Mus musculus: one gene and its partner. Each later gene encodes a partner of the first gene's protein in a complex. Links are inferred from orthologs where the notes say so. Each region holds a gene or a part of one and is shown in the gene's direction. Other genes may lie near its edges. The genes, in order: Gtf2e2 and Polr2b.

Region 1 (9,282 bases):
GATTGCTCCACAAGTTGTGGTGCGATTGATATGGCTGAGAGTTTTATCATATGCGGTCTGGCTTTGTTCACCAAATCTCTCATCATCCCTAAAGCAGCATGAAGAATATAACTAATTCCATGAAGATATGACAAAGTTGAGTTTACAGTCTTAAAAGAAAGGAGTGTTAGAATAAAACCTGCTGAATTGGTGCCTGCCACCTGTTTCTCAGGGTGATAAGATTTTAACCTTTGGGATTGTTTTTATTGTATTGTGTGGGTCTCCCTGCTCTTGTGGGTCATCTGCTGATATGGCCCACTAGGGCAGTGGAAGCAGAGATGACCTGGGGGGGGGCGGGTAGTGTTCATGGGTAACCGGAGTTCTGTGAGAATGACCATACTGGGACCAATTATCAGGAGGCAGATCAACTTTATTAGGGTGATTCGAGGTTTATAAAGCTTTGTGGGTCTGCAGGTAGGAACATCCAGGACAGGCAGAGGTCATTGGTTGAGGGCTTAGGGTACTTAAATGCTTCATTAGCAGGGGAAACATTTCAGGAATCTCAGGTGCTAGCTGACAGGTTTTACTAGGAGGATGGAAATTGATCCTATAATCTAATCGAGGGTATGTGACTTTCCTCAGGTAGAGGTGTATGTGTGGGGGTCTTGAATTCCCCAGGCAAGGTCAGAGAAGGGAAGCCCTGCTAATGAAGGGAGTCTCCCACATGGCACCAAACCCAGAGGTCATGGTGGACTTCGGCCTTAATTAACAGTTTCCCCACAGTATTGGACCTTCTTGTGTCCAAAGCAGACACCCCCAAAATGGCAGTGCTGCTGCCAGTGTCATCAATGACAGTCTGAGTTCAGCTCAGACTGAATTCTGACAGGGTAAACAGGAGGATTGATAGTGGATAAACAAAAGCCTAAATTAATATTTCTCAGAAAACTGTGAAGTGGGTCTCTGTTTTTCAGGAAGAGTGTTTCATCGCTTCTGCCTCTATGGCCCATCTCTGGCAATGGAGCATCTCGTTCCCTGTCAAAACATACCTGTGACACTCGTCAGAGTCCCCACACTAGCTCCCAGGCTTTTCTGGACTAGCCCTCTCTCCTCCTGCTAACCTTATTTCCAGGCTGTTCCCACTTCATGCTTCCTCCTGCTGCAACTCGTCCCTTTAAACCTAGCAAGGTTGCCAAGATTGGTGGTGTTGTAACCCCTGGATTACTGATACCAGAGAGACTTCAGTGTTGTACAGTTTGCCTCTGCCTCCCCCTCCCCTAGCATTAGAATGGCACCACCCATAAAACCCCCCCCTTAATGAGGATGTTCTGAGGAGACATCCTCTCCGCCTCTGTGTCTCCAAAAACCAAACACTCCTGCTGATAAGCAGCAACACTCCAGGTGCCTGTCCTTGAGACCTTAGAGAAATAACAAGCTCAAGGGAGACCATGGGAAAAAAGTAAACAGAGGTCAGGTCACAGTTACGAATGGCCATAAAATTAGTCCTTGAACAGACACCCATTAACACCCCCCCAATTCAGTACTATTCTACCCTCTACTCCCCTTTTCCATGAATATTCACACTATTCTAACTATATTGTATATAAATCCAATGTTTTCTGTCTGGACTCAGGGTCGCTTGCCAACATTCACGCAGTGAGTGCTGGGTTGACTATCTGAGTTCAAACTTGAAACAATAAAAGACTCTTTAGTGAGTTGCAGCAGACTTTGACATTCTTGGGCTCATCTGGGTTTCCTGTGGACTCAGAGCACAACAATGGCAAATGCTCTTAATCCCAGCAGAGCGTGGAGGCAGGGGGATCTTTTCCTCCAATCCCATTGCCTCTACATCAGCTTCTGCCTTCAGGTTCCTGCCCTGACTTCCCTCAGTGATGGCGTTAAGGTTTGTATAAGCTTGGCCCAGGGAGTATCATTATTAGAAGGTGTGGCTTGTTGGAGTAGGTATGGCCTTGTTGGAGTAGGTGTGTCACTGTGGTGTGTGGGCTTTAAGTCTCTCATCCTAGCTGCCTGGAAGTGAGTGTTCTGCTAGAAGCCTTCAGATGAAGATGTAGAACTCTTAGCTCCTTCTGTACCATGCCTGTCTGGATGCTGCCATGTTCCTGCTTTGATGATAATGGACTGAACCTCTGAACCTGTAAGCCAGCCCCAATGAAATGCTGTCCTTATAAAAGTTGCCTTGGTCATGGTGTCTGTTCACAGCAGTAAAGCCTTACTAAGACAGATGGACTGTTACCTGGACGTGTAAGCTGAAATAAACCCTTTCCTCTCCAAGGGTTTCATTACGTTGTTTCATCCCGGTAACCCTAAGACTGTATGCATGTTTGGCACTGGATGTATACAAGAGGGGTGTGGTGAAGAAACTGCCAACATGACCACCCCATGTTATGGCTAAGGTTTTTATTGGAGACATGAGAGTGAGAACAGCCACAGGGATCTGGAGAGTCCAGGGCAGAGAGAGAAAGTAGTAGATTGACCATGTGTAGCAGACTGGGCTTTGCCAGGACTGTCTACAAGAAACGGGAAAATGGCCACTGATAGAAAATAGGGGAAGCTTATTGAGAAAAGCAGCAGCAGGAGCGGAGAAGAGTGAACAAGAAGAATGAGTAATCGGTGGGCGGGTGGGAAGGGCCAGGGGACTGGTGAGCAGGCTTTGAAATGTATAAGTGCTTGTAGGGACTGAGGGAGTCTGGAGGCTGCCGGGCTTGCACCTTGTGCTGACATGTTAATTGGAGAGCCATAAGTCACTTTTGCTGGAGGAAAGGGAAATGAGTCATTTTCCTAGACAGAAACTAGAGCTTCACAAGTTCCGGAGGAATGCCGCCGTCTTTTGTCAGTTGTTAGAACTCCTCGTATAGTCCAGATTAAGTTAACTAGTGGATCTTCGGACTGTCATTTGAAGTTTGAAGAATTGGACTCTCCTTTGGACCTGACAAAAATTTAGTTATACAAAGTTAGTTTCTGCATCATCACTAGTATCCTATGTTGGGGGGGGGGCGGGACATACAAAACTAAGACCCAAAGTAATTAGTACTAATAAACTACAGCTATGGGATATTTAAATACTGGATTAGGCTGTACAAACAAGGATAGTTGTAGGGTGCAGGATGGGCCAATTATTATTATTTGTTGTTGTTGCCAAATATCGCACCCACATCTTATATTGTCCCCCAAAAAATCAAAGACAGGTCACAGGTATGAAAAGAGCCGGTGTTCGAAGCGCAGAAGCTGAGCTGTAAGTTTTGAGGTTGAAGTCCAGAAGTTGAATTCTATGTTGAGTTTGCCTTTGCTAGACTGTCCCTCCCACCCCCAAGCCCCCCGCCACTTGTTAAAGGTGGTTCTGGTGAGTGGTATTTGAAATAAAATAAAAAAGCTTGGCATGGAGCAGCACTTGGTAGGCCGAGGCAGAACGATCTCTGCAACTTTAATTCAAGTTCCAGGCCAATCAGGGCAACACAGGAAGACCTTGTCTCAAATAACCAAAACCACCCACCCTCCAAAAAATATGACAGATTTATTGGTAATGTTGCCGGTTGGGTTAGACTCCAGAGCCGGCTGAAGGAGCTGCTCCGACTTTGTGCCAAGAAAAGCGGCTTTCCGTTCTTCCCTAGAGCAGAGCTGGTAGAGTAAACGTGGCTACCGGCAGCCTTTGAGCGCGCTCCGGTCGTCATGGAAACTCGGGGCGGAGCACGCCGTGACGCAGGCGCCTTTTCGGAGCGGCGTCGCGGTGGTTGCTGGGAGCGAGCGTCCTAGCCGCCGCACCAGGAAGTGGAGGGCGGGGCCGGGGCTGTGTCGCCAACGCCACCACCACGGCCGCCTCGGGTTCGACCCCCTTGGCAGGTCCGTGTTGGGCGTGCGCGCCGCGACGGCGGCGGGGGGCGGGAAGCGGGCCCGCGGTGGGCGGGTGTGTGCGTGCGTGAGTGCGTGCGTGCGTGCGGCCGAGGCGGAGGCTGGGAGGCGGCGCGGGCTGCGGGCGCTGAGGTAGGGACTGCGGCGGCGGGCGAAGGGGGACGAGTCCCGCGTGGGACTCGGCTGCCCCGAAGCGGGACGCGTCTTCCGAGGGGACGCGCGCGTGGACGCCACGCCGCCGAGCCGTTCTCCAAAGCCGAGCCCCCGAGAGGAGGGGCTCGCCCCAGCCAGCATTGTCTTTTAGGCCGGACGTCCATACAGCAAACTTTCGGGTTGGAAAGCGGGAAGGATTCCGGGTGGGCGAGCGGATGGTGCCGACCGCTTCTTGGCCACAACCACAGCAGCCGAGCTCATCCCTGTGTGGAGTTGGGGGGACCACCATGGCGTCCCCTCCCGACTGGCTTTTCTAATGCTGCTTTAAACTTTTTGAGGTTGTGAGTTTTCGGAGGAGTCGAGAGGTATTTTCCCGATCGAACTCTGCGCTCCGTTTTCCTGATGTGCTCCGGTACTCGGGGGCGAGCCGTGAAGCGAGAGACAGAGTAGACAGACAGGCTGCTGGAAGATTGCAGATTCTGGGGTAGGAAAGAACTGGACAGTGGAGCCTGAAGATTTGAAATGTTAGTTTTCCGGTAGCTATCCACCGTGAAACGTACCAGCTCTCGGTCGTAACATCCTGTTCGGGGCTTTTGATTGACCAGATTAATGTAAAGTAGACGTGGATATAGTTTCTTTACCACCCAGGTTAGCCCTAAGATGTGCACTGCAGTACAGATGTTGGTTGCAAAAGGAGGAAAAGTTAGTTGGAACTCCGGAGAGTAAACCGCTTGCTCTGGGTGCCTTTGTTGGTATCATCATATAGAGAGGTCTCTCTTATTTCAGAAAGCTTTGCTAGGGTTCCAGGGCTGGGACACATGACTTCTTACTTAGTTGTGCCACTTCTATTCAGGTTTTATGTGTTAAAATTAGCCATAGCACTAATGCTTAGTCTTTCAGACTTGTGGGCATTATGTAGTTAGGTTTTTCTAAGTTGTACAGGTTTGATCTGTCCTAAAGTCTTTATTTGACGTCCAGATTAGTCATCTGACCTTATGAAGTAAAATGTTCCTGTTTTAGGAGTTGCAAACTGCCTGTTTCCTCAGTCTTCTCACGTTGTGAATTTTTTCTTATTTTCATGCTTTCCCTACTCATACCTCTCTCACTTGCATATTAAGTTAATGTTAATTTCTTACCTAATACAACCAAAATAACAATTACTCTTGAAAAAAAATCTTTCATAAATACTTCCTCACTTTTAGAGTTGAGCCAAGTATGTACAACACTGATAGTGCCCCATTCCCCAGACCTAGGAGGAAACTACATTTAGAGCAGTTCTGTAGATTATTTGCTCAAATGTTAGGAATTGAAACTGGGAGGAGCAGATGTTTTACTCTTAGACCAGGGACTCTTCGACTCTTCTTACATAAAGTTCACAGTGAGTTTTCCATATGAGTGCTTTTTTTTTTTTTTAAATCCCTTTGGATCAAGATTGAACCTGTCACACTGCCACTTGCCTCCAGCAAGCTATATCTCCAGTCTCCATCTCCCTGTTATTTAATCAAGGAACTCAGTGTGTGTGGAACCAGTTAGGATGCTCCGGCTTTCCTGAAGATGTACGTGGAAGCAATACTTAGTAAAAACTGAACTTGAGGTTAACGCTGTTTTGCTAGGCTAGTGACTTAGTACTTTAATGATGCTAGGCAGCTGCCGTGAGCTCCCAGTCGATATCACAAAGGCACAGTTGATATGCTGTTGTGTACCAGGTTGCTAGGCATTTATGTTCAGTACAAAAGATGGATTGAATGCATTTTTTTTCAACTTAAAATATTTTCAGTGTATGAAAGGGTTATCATTGGAAGTAGCCTCTGTAGAGTGGTCTTTCCCCCCTGACTGAACACTAGTGTGAAATTCATTCACAGGGGCAAGAGTGAGCTTTTCTGAACCGTGCTGCAGAGTGCTAGGAAGAGAAAAGACTTTTTGTAAGATTCATGGTGATTCAACTGGTGGTTCTTGTGTTCTGGTTGTGTTGAGATTGCTTAAAAATGCTTATAAAACTACAGTTTTATAACTGGGGGTGGGGTGGGGGGGAGGAGCGGGAATGATCATTTAGTTTTACCTCCTAAATCAGGAATTTTCTGTACACTTTTACCCCTCCAGTGTCTTTCTATGTAGTCCTGGCTGTCCTAGAACTCTGTATGTAGACCCTTGCCTTGAACTCACAGAAATCTGCTTGCTTCTGCTCCAGGTTAATTGCTGAGATTAAAGGTGTGCAACCACTATGCCCAGCTTCTATAGATGTTTTTAATACCTTAATCCAGCTTTCTTAATTAATAAGAGGGCACTGGTTTTTAAAACACACCATTTAATTTATAGCAGTTCCACTCCTCCCCTTTCCTTCCCTTTTCTTCCCTTTCCCATCCCCTCCCCCTTCTCCCCCTTCCTTCTTCAATGAGCCTAAATATGCTTTCTAACTTCTAGAGCACTGGTACACAGTATATAATGTGAGCTTCAAGTGTGAGTTATGCTTGTAATTAAAATTTGTGTGTGCTGAGGATTTAACCCAGGGCCCCATGAAACAAGGCAAGTGCTCTATCAGCTGAACTATATCCTCAGCTAGAGCCAGCTGGGGAGGATAATTTCTCTGTCTCTGTGTGCGTATGTATATATAATAACGTATATATGTATGTATACATATATGTATGTATGCATGTGTATTTTATAGAAATACTTAAGTCATTTATTGCCATTAAGTTACAAGTCTGAGTCTATACACTGGAAAACACTGAAACTTTTTACCTCAGGAAATTATTTGTCAGTATTTGGCTAACTGAAGGATATATTGTTGTCATTAAAGAGAAAGTCAAGAATTTTGAATATGAAAGTTCTTACAGTTACAAAATTTTGTTCCCTTTGATTTTTATTACACAAATCCCAATATGTGAACATCACTATATATGCATACTCCATATTACTGGAGATAACCACCATTCAGAATTATTAGTTACATATTTTGGACTGCTCTTGAAGGTAGCTGTTTACAACTGATAAGGCAGCAGACTTGGCTTAGGGTTTCTTGGCTGTTCTATAAAGTTAGCATGGTTATTAGAGATAGCATTCTGTGTTTTCCCCTCAGCGAGACTATTTACAATGACCTGTGGTTTGGCAGAAGTGACTGGGCACTGTCCCTTTTAAGAGCTGGTTCTTGTATTGCTAATTCGTCTCACAGTTGATAAGCTGTGCTCCCTGAAGGAGCTGATCTACTTCATTTGTTACATGATGTGCAGATAGAAGCCAGATTCCAGGTTATACCTTGTAGGCAAATCTCATGAATGTCACAGTGTGGCAACAAAGGATGAAAGCCATCTATCCACTGATGATCTCTGGAGACTTCTAAATGTCATTGATGGCTGCAATGGGGAGACCCTAGTTGGCAGCTGGTTCCCCGAAGTGCTCGCTCATGAGGTAGCCCTGGAAGTCCTTGTGCACACTGCTGCAGCCCTGCTCATGCCACTTAATGTGCAGCTGCTGCACAGAACAGTGACACTCTATGTTGTGGGAACTAACTTGCCAAGGGCTGTAGACATGGCATGTGGGTTTGAGTGATCTGAATATATATTAAAGGTTCGTGTTTGTCTTGTAGCATTATGGATCCAAGCCTATTGAGAGATCGAGAGCTGTTCAAAAAACGAGCTCTTTCCACTCCTGTGGTAGAAAAACGTGCTGTGCCTTCTGAGTCACCCTCCTCCTCCTCATCCAAGAAGAAGAAGGCAAAAGTCGAACATGGAGGATCCTCAGGCTCTAAACAAAATTCAGGTGAGGAGAACTGTTTTGGGACGTCTGTTACTATTTTTCGGGAAGCTAGTAATGGCACGTTCAGTTTCTCTTTTGAGATATGGACTCTATGCAGTTCCTGGCTGGCCTGGAACTTCCTATGTAGACAAGATGGTCCCACAGAGTTGGCTGCCCTGCCTCCTAGAGCTTTAATAGACCTGTGCTGTCACACCAAGCAAGCTTAATATTCTTAATGAGTTTCTTGGTTAAATATAAAAGATGAATTTAAATCCATAGTATGTTTTCAGAACCCATACGACAGCTTGCAACTACCTTTAACTCTGGTCTCCATGGGCACACATGCTGGCAAAACATCCATACAATAAAATTAAAGGGCGAAAAAGTGTATATACCACTCTTACTGGGGGAAAAGTTTTAAAAAACAAAAGCAAAAACCTACACTTTACTGAGGGTTGGGTTCTAGAACACGCTATTTACATTTTAAAATTATAGGGCAAATCTTTTTTAGTAAATATAGTGCAACTAATTACTCCCATTTTAGAACATTTCCATTCTCATTCAGTGGTCTGATGTGCTCGTTTGTGGTGATTTCTGATCCTAGCCCCAGATAACCAACCGTCTACCTTCTGTCTGTACATTTGCCTTCTAGACAATTGCTATACATAGACTTGTATACAGGGAGTGCTTTTATACGTGGCTTCTTTTATTTAGTATGTTTTTCATTTTTATCCATGTTATTGGGTGAGTTAGTATTTTATTGCCAAAGAGTATTCCATTGTATTGATATATCACAGTTTGCTTATTTACTGGTTGATGGAGTTTGAATACATAGAATCTTGCTGTGTAGCTTAGGCTGACTTGGAATTCACTAGGTAGGTCAGTATAGTCTCAAATGCAATAATTCTCTTGCCTAGATTCTTAGAAAATTCTTAGAATTTCTGGATAATGTGAATTTATGTTTAACTTTTAAAGAATCTATCAAAATGACTGTTGTGGTTTGGTCTTTTTGTTGCTGAGCTAAAACACTGACTAGAAATACCATGGGGAGAAAAAGATTTGTTTGGCTTACAGCCCATCATGAGGGAAGCTGAGGCAGAAACTGAAGCAAAGACCACTGGGTATAGTGCTGCCTACTGGGCTGCTTCCCCTTGTCAGACTCCTCCTCTTCCTCCTCCTTCAAGATTCACATATGTGAGTGTTTTGTCTGCATGTATGTCTGTATACCACATGCATGCCTGGTGCCTATGGAGGACAAAATAATTAATTTGATTTCCTGGGACTGGAGTTACGGAGTATTGCAAGCTACCATGTGGTTACTGGGATTGAACTCCGGTTCTTTGGGAGAACAGCCTGTGTTCTTAACTACTGAGCCATCTCTTTAACCTTAGTCATGTACAACTCAGGAGCACTAGCCCAGCCAGGGGTGTCACTGTACACAGTGAGCTAGCCCTCTCACATCAGTTAATCATTCAAGATGGTGCCCCACAGATGTGCTGTGCACAGAGCTAGTCTTGATGGAGGCAGCTCTTTGATTAAGGGTCCCTCTTTCCA
Region 2 (8,552 bases), on another chromosome or scaffold:
ATCCCTCACAACTACCTGTAACTCAGTCTCCAGGTGATCCCATGTTCTCTTCTGGCTACTGTGGGCCTTGTGCTCATGTGCACACAACCTCCAAATTAAAATGAAAAACTTTAATTTAGACCTTTTACTTGTAAGAAGAGATTATAAAGAAATGTATGTAAAAATGTCATAATGAAATGTGTGATTGATAATTGATAAGAACCTTTAAAAAGTCTGCTAGCAATTATATGTCACAATTACCTTAAGGAATTTTTATTTAACTACAAATCATGGTTTAAAATTAAGATTTTTTTAGTAACCTTTTTCTTAGAAAGTTGTATGTATACCTTGAAGCCAAATGTAAATGTTTATAGAAGATAATTTTTATGGGCATGTTAAACTGATGCTAATAATTGTGTGACTTACTCCGTAGGGCCATGCTGTAGGGCTTGTGAAGAATTTAGCCCTGATGGCTTATATTTCAGTTGGATCTCAACCCTCTCCAATTTTGGAATTTTTAGAAGAATGGAGCATGGAAAATTTAGAAGAAATTTCTCCTGCAGCTATTGCTGAGTGTGTACAGATGAGTTTTCTTTTTTAAGTGTTGTTTATTTTCAAGTTGTAGTTGATACAGAACTGCTGAGTGAAGAATGCTTTTGGTTTTTCATAGTGCAACCAAGATTTTTGTTAATGGCTGCTGGGTTGGAATCCATAAAGACCCCGAACAACTCATGAACACGCTAAGGAAGTTACGGCGGCAGATGGACATCATTGTATCCGAAGTAAGAATTTCCTTTTTTCTTGTTTTCACAGTGTTGACAGCTGAATCCATGGCCTTGCTCATATTAGGCAAATGTTCTTCCATTGAGCTATAGCTAATATAGTAGTAAGGATCTAGAATTAGCTAAAAGGGTGTTTTATTTCTCTACGTACTTTGTGTGTGTGTACGTGCACATATGGATGTGTATCATGGTGTGCATATGGAGGTCTGAGGATAGCTGTGGGGGTCAGCTTTCTCTTTCTGTCAAGTTGGTTCTGGGGATTGAACCCAGGTCATCCGGCTTGGGAGTAATTACCTTCACCCACCCTGGCCTTGATTTCACTTTTTTAAAAGCAATTTCATGGGTAGGTATGACCCAAATTCAGTTTTCCAACGTTTGGGAAATTTGTTTATTTTAGTTATTGACTTTTAAGATTAGATAATTCACTGGAGTTTGAGTTTGCTTTTTTGACTTCTTTACATATAAGCACTTCAGTTTCTGTAGTGCTATTAATTATTCATAAATTTTATATTGCATATTTTTCCAAGATACATTATATATTTTCTATGAATGTGTTTATAGACCATGCAGTAGAAATACTATACAATTAAAATTTTTCAGTGGTCACATTAAAAAAGTAAAACATAGGGGCTGGAGAGATGGCTAAGTGGTTAAGAGCACCAACTGCTCTTCCGAAGGTCCTGAGTTCAAATCCCAGCAATCACATAGTGGCTCACAACCATCTGTAATGAGATCTGATGCCCTCTTCTGGTGCATTGGAAGACAGCTACAGTGTACTTACATATAATAATAAATAAATCTTTTTTTTTTTTTTTAAGTAAAAACATAAACAAATGAAATAACTTTTAATTCTATATTTTATTTGACTGATACATCCAAAATGTTACCCTTCAAATATTACTAATATAAAAGTGTTAGTGTAATGCTTTATATTTTAAAATATATTAGTATCTTTTAAATCTATGAAATTTATTCTTGTAGCTCATTTCAGTTCAGAATGGTCACATTTGAGGTACTCAGTAATCACCTGGCTGGTAGCTGCTGTAGGTGGACTGTAAGCCGTTTGTCTGCTAGGTGAGAAAGTCAGGCTTCGGAGGAAATGGGAAAGTGTGGGCAAGACAGCAGCATCCCAGCACGGTGTGCTGTCTTTAAAACAATCCCAGTATTCTGGAGGCAGGGGATGGATGGATCAGTGTGTTTAAGGGCAGCCTGCTCTGCATAAAGTGATTCTAGACAGAGCTACATAGAGAGATCCTGTTTAAGAAAAAGAGGAACTTAGGGCCGGTTCCTGGAAGGTAGCAAGATGAAATACCTGTACTGAAATAAGGCTTGGGACTGTAGGACTGTAGCTCAGTGGTACAGCGCCTGCCTAGCAGAAGCCGGGCCCGAGGTCCTTTCTCCAGCACTACAAGAACAAACTGAAAGAAGTAGTAAACATACAAGTCTAAAATAAGAACATTTTATATACTTGTGGTTGTGGTACTGAAAAATGCTTTCTTCATTTTGCATTGACTTGTGTACTCTTCTGATGTTATTCAGCTGAATAATTAAGGTGAGGTTAGATTTTTTTTCTACTCATGAGTTTTACGATTACATCTTTTTATAATAGATTAACAATGGTAGATTTATCTTTTTGTTTTGAGTTTTTTTGACAAGTGTATACAGTTGAAGAGCAAACCTAGAGGCCCACACATGCTAGGGCAAGCTCTCCATCGCTTAGCTGTGTGTGTCCTTTCATTTTACATGTCTGAATGTTTGCCTTAATGTATGTATGTGCTCCTTGTGTGTGCCTGGTGTCTGTGGAGGCCAGAAGGGGGTACAAGATCCTTTAGACCTGGAGTGACAGGTGGTTGTCAGTCGCCATGTGGGTGCCTGAACTTGAATTCTCTGCAAGTGATCTTAAGTGCTGAGCCACCTCTCCAACTCTTCCTTTTGAGATGTAGTCTTGCTAATTTGTCTATGCTGGTGTTAAACTTGTAGATCAACTGATCCTGTCCTTCAGCTTCCTGAATGATGGTGTGATAGGTGACTCCTACAGTGCCCAGCTACTTGTATTTTTAGCTGAATTGTCATCATACCAAAAAAAAATAACGAGATTGTTTTGTCTTTTATATCTAGGTTTCTATGATCAGAGATATTCGAGAGCGGGAGATTCGGATCTATACAGATGCAGGCCGTATTTGTAGACCCCTTCTGATTGTGGAAAAGCAGAAGCTGCTTTTGAAGAAGAGACACATTGACCAGTTGAAAGAGAGAGAATATAACAACTACAGGTAAGATGGTGGGTGAGAAGCAAAGTACATGTAGTCAGAAAACTGCCATGGAAAGTATATAGTTAGTTGTTTTCAGTGTAGTCACAAGATTGGACAGCCACTGTCACTCTCCAGTGTACGATCTTATCAGTGCCCTGGGAGAAGCGTACCATCAGCAGCCATATTTATTTTTCTTGTTTTTTTGTTATTGGTTTACAGTGGACTTGTGGGATTTGTATTGAAGTGTGAAGTCTTTTGATGTGATAAATGCAATGATAAATAACCTGTGTAGTGCAGCACACAGTACGTGTAATGTGACTAGTATATTTTGAGGGGAACGTTCTTGTTCTTGCTGTATAGGCCAGGCTGACCTGGAACACGCAGTGAAATCCAGGGCTGGCCTTGAACTTATGACCTTCTTGCCTCAACTTCCTGAGTACAGAGAATATAGATCGTGTGCCACCACTCCTAGCAAAAATAAGAAATTTAATAGAAAATGAACTTGCTTTAAAAATTTACTCTAAATAATATCATAGGTGTATTGTAAAGTAACGTGTAGTAAACGAGTGAGTGCTCTCAATTCATGTTTGCTGATTTTGCCATAATTTTTTTCATAATGTCCTTTACAAATACATATGAATAATAGGTGGATATATGTATTCTACCAGGCCTTATTTTGTGTTTTTCCTACTTCTTGTCCCTATTTCACAAGTATAGATTTTTTAAAAAGAATTATTTATTTATTTTATGAATATGAGTACACTGTAGCTGTCATCAGACACACCAGAAGAGGGCATCAGATCTATCAGTGATGGTTGTGAGTTGCTGGGATTTGAACTCAGGACCTCTGGAAGAGCAGTTAGTACTCTTAACTGCTGAGTCACCTCTCAGGCCCACAAGTGTAGGTCTTTAAAACAAAGTGAATAGCAGATGTAGTCTAATAGGGTATATATAGTCCAGCAGCCTTTTCACATTAACAGTCATGTCTCTGAATTCTTTCCATGTTAATACAAACACAAATAGGAATAGTTTTAAAGCAGTAGGCTTTGTCTTACAGTATCTCATGAAACTGACTTGTTTTAGTTGGCAGGATCTGGTAGCCAGTGGGGTAGTAGAGTATATTGATACCCTGGAAGAGGAGACCGTGATGCTTGCAATGACTCCAGATGATTTGCAGGAGAAGGAAGTAGCTTATTGTTCTACCTACACCCACTGTGAGATTCACCCATCAATGATTCTTGGAGTCTGTGCATCTATTATTCCTTTTCCTGATCATAACCAGGTTGGTCGTACTTCTGTCTTCTGGTTTGCAAAGATCGGGGAAGTAATCAATATTAGAAATTAGTATGAAGACTTGTCAGGGGGTGTGAGCACTACAGACTCAGCTGTTTGACGTGCTTATTAGTTACTTTTCTGTTCCTGTGATAATATGCCACGGCCAAGGCAACTTACAGATGGAAGTTTATTTTGGGCTCTGCTTCCAGAGGGATAAGAGTCCATGATGAAGGAGCAGAGGCAGGGGAATAGCAAGCTGTTATCGTTATCCTAGTCCTTATCTAATAGCATGAAGCGAAGAGCAAGGTGGGGATGGCGCGTGACTTTGAAACCCAAAGCTGGTCCCCAGGGATGTGCTCCTGGCAAGGCTACAGCCCCTAAACCTCCAGAAACAGCGCCATCGTCTGGGAACCAAGTGCTCAAACGGCAAGACTGGGGGCTCCATTTACAGCGCCACCGGTGCTTGCTCTTGTTCTTGTTGAGAGCCATAAGGGCTTATTACTTGTCTGAGAAAAAGACAAGGCCAGAAACTTTTTAACCAATTATTTCTCTGATGTGTTATTAAATATTCATTGTCTTTACTTTCTGTTTCTACCACTAGTCCCCTAGAAACACATACCAGTCTGCTATGGGCAAGCAGGCTATGGGAGTTTATATCACCAACTTCCATGTGCGGATGGACACCTTGGCCCATGTTCTCTACTATCCTCAGAAACCCCTTGTGACTACACGGTCTATGGAATATCTACGATTCAGAGAGCTGCCAGCAGGTACGTTCGGTGTGCTCTTTGTTTTTTACGATTTTGCCTTGCTTAAGACTCTGCAGTGAGAAGTGCTTGGGAAGATTAAAAACCGCACACAACACTGACTGCTTTCCAGACTTTAGATGTGGAACCATGAATGAATTAAAACAGTGGATGTGTGGAAAGGGTTATGTTGGGTATAAAGTCCTATTCAAGTACAGTGTCAAAATGATTGATTCCTCTTGGAATGTAGAGCCACTTTTAAGGAGGATATTGGTAAAGGGGGTATTTGAATTTGAATTTGAGCAAAGGCCTTCCTTCATTTGTGAACCCATGAGATGTGGGACTAGGTCATGTCGGTGCAGTGTGGCCAGAGCATCATATGTGACTGAAGCTTGTTCTCGTGGTGTGGAAAGAGCCGGACCTGTTTGAATATTGTTTTAAAAGTGAAGGCTTGGAGTTGGCAGCTCCCTAGAGCTGGAGAATCAGGTTTTGTTAAGGGTGTGGCCATTGGTAGTTCTACTCCTCTTGAGTGAATGGCCCCACATCCATGAGTATATAACAGCAGAAATTGGATTCCATGGGTATTAAAATATGATTATTACACTTTCAGCTTTTTAAAAAACCTCACTAATTTCCACAGTGGTTGCACCAGGGTGCACTCCCAGTAACAGTGAATAGGGCTCCTCTTTCTCACATCCTGGTCTGCATTTCCTCCTGTGATCTCTGAGTAGCCTTTCTGACTGGAGTGTGAGGGAATCTCAGAGTGGCTCTAATCTCCGTTTTGCTGGTGGCTGATGATGTTGAACACTTAAAATGTTTACTAGCCACCGTATTCCTTTAAGAACTCTGTTCAGCTTCTTGATGTTTGTTTGTTTGTTTGTTTTAGATTAGATTCAAATCCTCTGTTGGGCATTGACCCACAAAGATTTTCTCCCATTCTGTAGGCTGTTTCTTCATTTGATTGACAGTTCCCTTTGCAGGGAATTATTGGCCAAATTTCCCGAGTGATTGGAGTCCTATTCAGAAAACCATGGCAATGTTTATGGTGAAGTGTACTCTCCAGTTTCTTTATCACAATTTCTGAGTCTTAGGGGCTTATGTTAAGGTCCTTGAATCATTTGAAAATTGTTTGTGCTTATTTTATGTGTGTGAATGTCTTGCGTGCATGTATATGTGTATGTGTACCACAAGCATGCAGTGCCCACAGAGGCTAGAAGAAGGTATCCAATCTCTCCTGGAGTTATAGATGGTTGTTAGCTGAACCTTAGTCAAACAGGAGACAGAGGCTTCCAGATCTCTTGCAGTTTGAGGCCAACCTGGCTTACATATTGAGTACTAAATCAATCTGATTTACATAACGGACCCTGTCTTAAACAAAAAAATTAAAAATTAGGTGCTGTAGTTACGTGTCCTCTGTTTTATTCCATTGATCTCTATATCTGATTTTTTGCTGTTTTTGTTACTTTGGCCTGTAGTATACTTTGAAGTTAGGCAGTATTTTTATGCTCAGGACTGCGTTTGCTGTCTGGGTCTCTTGTGCTTTCAAATGAATGATAAGATTGCTTTCTCTGTCTCTGTGCAGAATAGCACTAGGGATTATGTTGGTAGCTTTCCCATGGTAGGATACCCATCTCCACAATATTAATCCTGATTCATGGAACTGTGAGGTATCTGTGTCTTCCAGTGTCTTCCTCAGTTTGAACACTTTCTAGTGCTTTAGTTTACTATATTATGTGTTATCAATCTTCTTCTTCCTCCTCTTTCCTCTTTTTTTTTTTCTTTGATAAAAGATTGGGTCACTATATCCCATAGGCTGAGTTTCCTACACGCTTCGTTAGTGCTGGGAATACAACTTTGGGCTTCATAATTCCTTACAATGAATCAATCTCTTATTGTTTATTATTACTGTGCACAGATGCTGTGCCATACATATAGATCATAGGACAGTTTTGTGGAGTTGGTTCTTCCCATTTTATATAGGTTCTGGGGTCAGACTTAGTTGGCCAGACTTGTACAGCAAATGCCATAGTGTGGGCTCACCTTCTTTTTTTCTCGTTCCCTCCCTCTCCCACCTCCCCTTTCATTGCCTCCCTCTCCCCACTCCTCCTCCTTCCTGGTGCTGTTTAAAGATGGGATGGTCCTATGTTGCCCAGGCTGTTTTCATATTCCTGAGCTAACATGGTCCTCCTGCCCTTGCCTCCCCGAGTGTCAGGTGGTAGACCTGTGGCACACACCTAGCCACCTATCCATTACAGTAGTTAGGGCAGCAGCTACTAAGATCTAACTGTGGCCTGAAAGATGGTGCCACAACTGTGGTGGCATGGGGAGAGAGCAGCAGGGTGGTGTTGGTTTCATATTTAAAATTAGAAATTAGGAGGCTAGGGTCTGAGGCTTGAGTTTGTCGCTAATTCACTCTGGAGGCGTATGTATGTTCTTACCTTAGAGTCGTGAGAACAATAAAGCTTGTTTATTTAGGGTTAGGGGAAGCACTCTGTAGTTATAGACCATGTTACATGGAGGAGTACTGATAGTAAGGATGGCTTCCCTGGGAGTGATGGTTTCAGGGTTAAGCAAGCAGAGCATTTGCCTCACACACAGGTTCAGGGAGGAGGAGACAGCAACAGTTTCCATGATACAAACATCCAAGTGTTTGTGACAAATAGGATGAAAGAAAATGGATTTCAATGAAAGGATAGGTTTCCCTGCTTCCCAGAGGGTCCTTTACTGTTTGTTTTTGAATGTACTGTAGGAATCAACTCAATTGTGGCCATTGCATCCTACACGGGCTATAATCAAGAAGACTCTGTTATCATGAATCGTTCAGCTGTGGATCGAGGCTTTTTCAGGTCAGCTTATAGTAATATTTGTTGAAACACAGATATAGTGGAAATGCATTTTTTTTCATAAAGTTTTTAAAGAATAAGCTTGACTGCCCTAATCCAAAAGCAGACCTGGCTGGTGGTCATACAGCTATTGGCGGTGAGTCTTGTGTCTCTGGGTTTTCAGATGTGATATTTTAAATGTTTTTCTGTTGTAAGCAAATATGTAATTGCATTTAGATAATATAGAAACATCTAAGGAAGAAATAGAAAATAGAACTCTGAAATAACTGCTGGTAAAATAATGGTGTGTTTTATCTGTTTTCTTGTTTGTTTTTAGAGACAATTTCACTATGTAGTTGAAGCTGGCCTTGAACTTACAGTGTAGTCCAGGCTGGCTTTGAACTTACAGTGTAGTCCAGGTTGGCTTTGAACTCACAGCAGTCCTTCATCCCAGTCTTCTGGGTTTTGGGATTACAAATGTGCACCATGACTTGGCTTCCTATATTCCCCTTTCTTACTGACAATAGATTAATCTTAAATATGTAGTAGCATAAGAAGGTTCTTTCAAACACGGGGGATTTAGAGGGGAAACTTTTCTCCTTATATAATTCTATAAAGCAGCACCAGGACTGAAGTGTGGACATCATAACTTCATATAAAAACGCCTCAGTGGGGATACTTGAGCAGATGAAGGCA

What was found.
Region 2: Gtf2e2 (region 1) and Polr2b share a complex: the UniProt entries of both Homo sapiens proteins name them as parts of the TBP-based Pol II pre-initiation complex. The link is inferred for Mus musculus from reciprocal best matches to the Homo sapiens genes GTF2E2 and POLR2B.

The regions. Positions count from the first base shown.
Region 1 is NC_000074.6:33,728,155-33,737,436, forward strand, and holds the start of Gtf2e2 (general transcription factor IIE subunit 2), read left to right. Parts: upstream 1-3,912; 5' UTR 3,913-3,975; exon of another isoform or gene 3,976-4,520; intron 4,521-5,427; exon of another isoform or gene 5,428-5,552; intron 5,553-5,571; exon of another isoform or gene 5,572-5,918; intron 5,919-6,032; exon of another isoform or gene 6,033-7,396; coding exon of another isoform or gene 7,397-7,401; intron 7,402-7,579; coding exon of another isoform or gene 7,580-7,583; coding exon 7,584-7,752; intron 7,753-9,282. UniProt on the Homo sapiens protein: Recruits TFIIH to the initiation complex and stimulates the RNA polymerase II C-terminal domain kinase and DNA-dependent ATPase activities of TFIIH. Both TFIIH and TFIIE are required for promoter clearance by RNA polymerase.
Region 2 is NC_000071.6:77,331,538-77,340,089, forward strand, and holds part of Polr2b (DNA-directed RNA polymerase II subunit RPB2), read left to right. Parts: intron 1-412; coding exon 413-552; intron 553-649; coding exon 650-761; intron 762-2,879; coding exon 2,880-3,034; intron 3,035-4,096; coding exon 4,097-4,295; intron 4,296-4,889; coding exon 4,890-5,058; intron 5,059-7,783; coding exon 7,784-7,880; intron 7,881-8,552. UniProt on the Homo sapiens protein: Catalytic core component of RNA polymerase II (Pol II), a DNA-dependent RNA polymerase which synthesizes mRNA precursors and many functional non-coding RNAs using the four ribonucleoside triphosphates as substrates.